Schizosaccharomyces pombe: one gene and its partner. The gene in region 1 interacts genetically with each later gene. Each region holds a gene or a part of one and is shown on either strand. Other genes may lie near its edges.

Region 1 (3,494 bases):
CAATATGAAGAAAAGACTCTTAAAATTCCATTCATGCTAACTGAGAGAACAAATTTTTAACCTAAATCTATGCCAATATTTTACTAACATAATTATAGGTTATTCATGAAAGGTATCCAAAACTTAATTGAAAACTAGACTTCAAATATGTACTTTAGGGTATTATTAGGATGATTTATTAAATTTCAAAGACAAGCATATGTCTGATGCCATTGGTTTTGAAGAAGTGAAATGCGTCTGATTATAGACAACCTAAAGTTATATATTTCCATGTCCTAAGTTTTCGTGTTAAAACAACTTTTCTAACGTATTTGCAAGACCTTAAACTAGTTAGATACACTGAAGTTAAGGAGGCTGTTTTGTATAGGTAAGTAGATCAGCTTGAGGTCGAATTTTAGTTCACATGATGTTTTTACTTTAATCACGACGGTCTACGTAGTTTCTACATTGACGAAGATTGCCTGTGACAAGGCGCTTTTTCTGAATGTACTTTATATATCGACCTCTAATTTTTAGTGTCGGTTCGTTTATTAACATTTTTTAGTTCTATAGTTTGAATCTTCTAGAGTTTTTATAAAGTTAATCATAAATGAAAATGTCAATCTGACAAACAAAAGCTAATTTTGTAAGTAAACGTAATATTGAACAAGTATATGTTAAGGATTCTTTTCTTTTTTCTTTGAACAGAAGGGATTTACGATCAACACTCATTTAGTGTTTCACATATAGATTAGCGTGCTATTCTGGGTAGCAATTTCGTCTCGCAGCATGCAATCAACTACGAAGTGGAATTTTGCCAGTTTATTAGGGATCGATGGGCATTATGTGATACTCTCAATACTGTGGCAGCACGAGCTTTTGTTAGCTACTGAATCTTTTAAAGGCTAGAATGAACATACTGTGTTTCTCAAAGTCATCCAAACCCTCAATGAATTGTGAGTTTTGTTGTAAAGCACCTTGAGGATTCAGGGACGCATCTGCAATCAGCATTGCTCTGGAACGTAAAGTGTTTAGGGAAATTTGAACCAAGCTGTCGTCTGATATTCTACAATGAGTTAGTAAGATTTTGAATTTGAGAAAAACGTGTAAAGTTTGACTTACAAATGGAGCATTTTCTCGGCAAAATGGTAATAATGTGTGGTTATGTCCCGAATAGATACACTATTAGGATTCGCCTTTAATGCATTTCGTACTACAGAAGAAAATGGTGCTGGCATATGAATACTAACAAAAGAACTATAAAGTAAGCAAATAAGCAAAATTATCCAATTTTCTATAAGACATTACATGTATATAATGTAACATGCAGAAAAAACCAAAAAAAAAAAAAAACTTTACTTACTTAATTGCTAAAACCTCTGCCAGCCAAAAAGGAAGTTCAACTTTAGAGCCCGTAGGAACCTAAACTGTTTAGAAAGTCAAGTTCTATTTTTATAAACTTCACTAACCATACGCCCTTCATGGCCTAGTCCTGGAATGGAAACTGTACTAGTACATGGAACCTTTTGATTTTCAGACAAGATACTATCAATATCATAGTAATCCATTTTTTTAATGTCTGAGCAGAAGGAATGATAGAAGTGTTATTGTTATTTTATCAAAATATGTTCATTTAGAAAAGTTGCAGTTACAAGGTAAAAGTAGGTAGATGCAACGATAAATTCAAATTTGAGTTGGCTAAGATATAGTGGATAAATAATGAACTGTAATTACACCAGTACTAATCAACAAAAAAAATAGAGATAAAAAAGATTTATTTTTACTTTTCTTAACAGAGCATCTAGTTCAAAAAATTAGTGCTGATAAATATTGTATGTTCGAGTACTAAAAATTTGCTTCAATGTTTAACTCGAAAAGTATGTCATACATGTGTATATTCGTCCTTCTGAAATTGGTCGAAAAATTTTATTAAAAAAAGGAAACTTTGTTCTATAGTTTCATTAAAGAAACGCATATGCTTGTTTGAATGTTATACCTATTTATGAAACTTGCTCATTATGCGATCAAAATTTACACAATCTTTCCGTAAAACTGATTTTTTTAAATGATTTTTAGTCCGTAATCTACAAAACATGATTGCATTGTATTCAAAATTATTTTGCGTATTAATTATTTAGTATGTCATTTCCAAATGCAAAAAGGTTTTAACACCGACATAGGCCAAATTTCATAAGTTATTCGCCAAGTTTCATCAACAGGTTCATCAAGTCATATACGCTTTAATCCATACTTTAGATGTCAACACCTTCGAGTTTATCAGCAATCTTTACCTGAGTAAATAATCAACCTGCTGCCAAACAATGTTGTAAAATCAAAGCAACAATTTGTTGTTCGTTTAATTAGTTACTCATAAAATTAAAGAGAACTCAGAGTTTACTTGGAAGGTAAATTAAATAGAAGTACCCCGCCAACTATAAACAATTAGTTTCAAAGGTTAAGCAGACTAGGATATACAGGAACTTTACATCCAAGACATCATCAAATATGCTATTCCCCCAATGTTATACGCAACAAATGGATGCCTTCGTAAGAATTGATATCGACGTTTGGTGAACACAGCACGAAACGTTAAAAACTTATTCACTACTTTTTGGAGAAGTACGCATCTTCCAAATGTCTTCACTATTCGGCCCTTGCCTAAACTTCATCCACTGCTGAAGACGCCGCTTACGAAGCCCTTCTTGAGCCTCTTCGTGAGCCTTCGACTTGGTTGACAGACACCATTTAAAGTCTTTAAAATTTCCCTTACATCTGTTGTATTCACCATAACGATAGTAATGATTCATTTGTGAGAACACTGTTAAACACATGGCCATTTGGTCAAAGTAATACTGTAAACTACACGGATCCTCAGGAATCCCTTTTTTCAAGTCGAGTATTTTATCTAGTTCCGCATACTGACCAAAAGTGCTTTTTTCATCATTTTCTTTAAAATTATTCATTATTTAAAAGCATACTAGTAAAAATCAAGTGAATTGTGCCTAGGATAGGTAGCTAACGTGACTGCCACTGAACCTGTGTAGCGTATTAGATCCATCAAGATCCCTTCTGCTCATATCATTGCTGATCTGTAAATTGACCGCATCAAATTTGATCTCATTTATATCGAGATTGATCTATATTATTTTGCCAATTTGCAGTATATAAACTTATTTGATTAAGTTTTTGGTCTCCTTCGCCACGTCTTCATTTTGTTAGTTTAAATTTTTTTGACTAACTTAGAAAGGGAAGTTTTTAAAAACGTTGAAATACTTTTTCGATTTAAAAATATATATTTAATTAATTTTCTGTTCCAAAATGGTTGCTCCTCATCTTTGGTTACGTGCTGAAACCAAACCTTTAGAAGAGCGCAGTGCTTTGACTCCTAGAACTGCCAAGATACTCGCCGATGCTGGATTTCAAATTACCATTGAGCGCTCTTCCCAACGTGCTTTCAAGGACAAAGAATTTGAGCGCCTTGGTTTCCCCATGGTTCCTGAGGGCTCATGGCGACA
Region 2 (4,199 bases), 4.2 Mb from region 1:
AATATTACCGAACTATAACTAAACTAAATTCAAATGATGTAGAAATACGAAATTTTGTTATTACTGAATATTTTCTTTATTTTGTTTATATTTTATTTTATTTTGTTTTGTTTTGTTTTGTTTCCTTTTAATTTTCCTTCCTTTTTATTGGAAAAAAAAAAAGAAAACAAAACAAAATAAATATCTTGGAATGCATAATTGTACATCGTTACTAACAATATTCGCTAGGTGAAAGTGTTCAATTCTCTCCACTTGTCGAAAACAAGATCGCTGTTGCAGCTGTCACCCATTATGGATTAGGCGGAAGCGGACGTCTTTATATTCATGATGTTACGCCAAAAGGAATTCAAGTTTGCCAACAGTAAGTAATTGTGCGATTACTGCTCTTCATTATTAGACTTTTGCACAAAACACTTTTAACCATTAGTTATTATGATGAAAACAGTCTCTAAATCCTACGAAATGAAATTTATCTAACGTTAAATACTAGCTATGATGTCGAGGATTCTTTGTTTGGTGTGCGCTGGTCTCAGAATTGTGAAAATCAAGTCTACGCTTGCTGTGGTGATGGTTCTTTGAGACTATTTGATTTGACTATGCCCTCTAAGCCCATCCATAAATGGAAAGAGCATAAAGCGGAGATTGTCGCAATAGACACAAATACGGTTGATCGAAGAATTGTAGTTACGGGCTCCTGGGATGGGACTATCAAATTATGGTTAGGCAATTTGCCTAACAGTGTGCAGACGCTCAACAATGGTTCGAATTCAAGGATTCTTACAGTTGCTACACATTATAGCTCTCCAAATTTACTCGGGTATACATCAAGTGATGGATTATGCAAATTTTGGGATTTCCGGTCTTCCGATAAATTTATGTCCATTGAAATACCGAATCAAATTACTTGCATGAATTGGAGCAAGTCTAATCATCGTATGGTTTACACGGCCGACAATAACAATCTGGTTTACTGTTACGATATCGCGAATTTAAAGACGCCTCTGTCCGTATTGTCTGGTCACCAACTTGCTGTTCGAAGTATAAAATCGTCCAATTCCGCCCATGATCTTTTGGCTACAGCAAGTTACGATATGACTTCTCGAATTTTTGACCCGGAACAGCACTCTTGCATAAGAAAAGTTGATTTGCATTCTGAATTTGTCCGTGATGTTGATTGGAGTGATTTCGGCGATGGATCTTGGATTGCAAGTGTTGGTTGGGACGAATCTTTGTATATATGGAACGCATTTTAAGTTGCTGCTGTTTTTAATTTAAGATTTTATTACACTGATTCAAAGACGAAATGTTCGAACGCTCGGAATAAATTCGTTGTGCACATGTTCACCTTGGATTATATCACCAGAAAACAGCGATTACAAATTATTTTTACGATAGTTTAGGTAGCTCAAGTGAAAAATTTAGTAACTAGAGTAATTATAATATGATTTTTGGCATTTGGCATAAAATGAGAAAGGGTTGTTTGCAATGCCTACAAAAATTTCTTTTTTTTGTAACTACTATTGCGTAGCTTTGACTTGTATATTAATGCGCTATTGTTTAGGAAATATAAAGCGACTCAAAGTGCTTTACCTTCCTTTGTACTGACCACCTGGTAATTTCCTCCATGATCCACCACCAGTAACGTTTATTTATTAATGTTCATCAAGAGATCCGATTACGCCTCTGCTTACTTGAAAATTAAAGAAGCAAGTGTATCTGGTGGATGCACAGTTCAGCTCTTTGTTGCTTTAGACCCAGACGCGCTTTGTGCATGCAAGCTATTGTCCACACTTTTGAAAGGCGATTTTATTTCACATAAAATTAGGCCTGTATCGGGCTATCGAGACCTTGAACAAGCAAATAAAACTTTGCTAGAGCAAAATGAAGATATCAAATTCATTATACTTTTGAATTGTGGAACGATGGTGGATCTAAATAATTATCTTGTTTCTATGGAAGACGTATCTATCTATGTAATTGATTCTCATAGGCCGCATAATCTAAATAATATATACATTGAAAACAATATTTTTGTTTTCGACGATGGAGATATTGAAGAAGACATGAATAAAATTCATGATGCTTGGTATGCATTTAATTCGCATGAGCTATCAGATGAAGAAAATTCCGATTCCAGTAATGAGCGAGAGGAGGAAGTCGAAGATGACAACCGATCTGTGGAATCTTACAGCTCATCCGATTATCAAGCACGAAGTCGTAGGCGTTTTTCAGAGGAAACGACGCAACGTCGAGCTGAAATTAAGGAGAAAAGGAAAAAACGGAAAGAGTTCGCCTCTATCCTTTCTGAATATTATGAGAAAGGAAGTTGGTACGGCGAGTCAATTACCAATATCCTGTTTGCAGTAGCATCCATGCTTGGACGTGAGGATAATGACATGTTGTGGTTAGCGATTGTTGGGCTCACCTGCTTGGAAATTCACTGCCAATCCTCAAAAAAATACTTCAATAGGTCCTATTCTTTATTGAAAGATGAAGTCAATCGCTTGAACCCTTCACCACTTGAAAATCAAATAGTCGGTCGCGCACATGGTAAGACACCCCATGATCAGTCAATTCGGCTTGAAGATGAATTTCGTTTTATGCTAGTAAGACATTGGAGTCTTTATGATTCTATGCTTCATTCTGCTTACGTTGGTTCGAGACTTCACATTTGGAGCGAGGAAGGACGCAAACGACTACATAAGCTTCTTGCAAAAATGGGACTCAGTCTGGTGGAGTGTAAACAAACTTATATTCACATGAACATGGATTTAAAAAAAACTTTGAAAAGTAGTCTTAAAAGATTTGCACCGTTTTATGGTTTAGACGATGTGATATTCCATAGTTTTACTCGGACTTATGGATTCAAATGTACACTTAGTGCAAGTGACGTTTCTTATGCTATCAGTGCATTATTAGAAATGGGTAATACAGGTGTTTTGCTTCAAAGCAAAACTGTCGCTCGAAGCCCGGATATGACGGAGGAAGAATATTTGGAGAAGTTTGAAAATGCTCAAAATCAAGAATGGTTGCACAATTTTTATGATGCATACGACGCCTTGGACGATGTCGATTCATTAGAAAGAGCATTGAAGTTAGCAATGCACTTACAAAGAGCCATTGTTCGTACTGGAATCACCTTACTTGAAAAAAGAGCCATTAAAACGTTGAGATCTTTTCGTTTTGGACTTATCAACGAAGGACCAGATCTGAAAATATTTATGCATCCCCTTGCGTTAACAAAGATGAGTCTTTGGATTGCTGAAGCTATTAATGTAAGTGTCTATTGATTTTAACGTTTGACTAACACTTGAAGGAGCAAGAACGAGAATTTGGAAAGCTTAGACATCTTCCTCTTGTTTTAGCAGCTTTTGTAGAGGAAAAAAATAGGTACTTAATAGTTGGAACTTCTACTTCCGCTTTTACTAGCAATGAAGATGACGATGATGACGACGGTCATGGACACAATCGTTTTGGAGTTGCATTTCAAGAGGTTGCAAACATGACATCTGCTACTTTGCAAATGGACTGTTTTGAAGCAAGTGTGATTGAGTGTCAAAAAAGTGACCTCGGGGTTTTTTTAGAAAGTCTGTCCTTCAAAACACTATTATAAAGATTGGGTAAATAATGGGAATTTTGCTAATAAAGAAAATATTAATTCATCTAATTAAAATTACACGTAAATAAGTATGGATATCAACTGATGTAAGAACTATTTTCCACACCAGCAATTGTTTGGCCGTTCAGATTGTATACAAATGTGTTTTAAATTTGGTACAGCGATTGAGAGCTTCCTAAATACTTCATTACGAACCACGTTTAAATCACCGTCTATGCTCACCTGAATATGGAGTATTCCATACACTTCACCTCTTTCGTTTGTCCAGAACTTAGGGTTGGATAAACTGATAACGGAGTTACTTAAACTGATGTTCGACAAACACTGCTTCAATAAATATTCCGATTCTGGATCAGTCACAGAGAGCAAATTCTTCGCCGAATCTTTAATTAATGGAAGTACAGAAACAAATATTAATGCAGCAATTATTAGAGATGCCAAAGGATCAAAACCGGTCCATGAAAACCACTGTATTAATATAGTAGAGACAATAACTCCAACAGAGCCCATAGTATCTGCGATAATATGCAGAAATATGCCATGCATATTATGATTTTCATGGTGATGATGACAGTGATGA

The links. Genes that interact genetically often act in the same process or in processes that back each other up.
Region 2: mutations in psf3 (region 1) and cdc45 impair growth when combined (synthetic growth defect), as found in Schizosaccharomyces pombe (one study listed by BioGRID).

What each region holds. Positions count from the first base shown.
Region 1 is NC_003424.3:527,225-530,718, forward strand, and holds psf3 (GINS complex subunit Psf3), read right to left. Parts: upstream 1,653-3,494; 5' UTR 1,548-1,652; coding exon 1,449-1,547; intron 1,402-1,448; coding exon 1,343-1,401; intron 1,318-1,342; exon of another isoform or gene 1,237-1,317; coding exon 1,102-1,236; exon of another isoform or gene 1,046-1,101; coding exon 900-1,045; exon of another isoform or gene 841-899; coding exon 779-840; 3' UTR 558-778; downstream 1-557. Other genes in the region: SPOM_SPAC227.17C (uncharacterized protein), read right to left, coding at 2,577-2,942; saccharopine dehydrogenase Lys3, read left to right, coding at 3,298-3,494. UniProt on the Schizosaccharomyces pombe protein: The GINS complex plays an essential role in the initiation of DNA replication.
Region 2 is NC_003424.3:4,723,148-4,727,346, forward strand, and holds cdc45 (DNA replication pre-initiation complex subunit Cdc45), read left to right. Parts: upstream 1-1,624; 5' UTR 1,625-1,655; coding exon 1,656-3,275; intron 3,276-3,316; coding exon 3,317-3,613; 3' UTR 3,614-3,699; downstream 3,700-4,199. Other genes in the region: pex7 (peroxin-7), read left to right, coding at 229-361, 491-1,253; Golgi zinc importer, CDF family, Cis4, read right to left, coding at 3,713-4,199. UniProt on the Schizosaccharomyces pombe protein: Required for initiation of chromosomal DNA replication. May have a role in regulating the MCM proteins nda1 and nda4.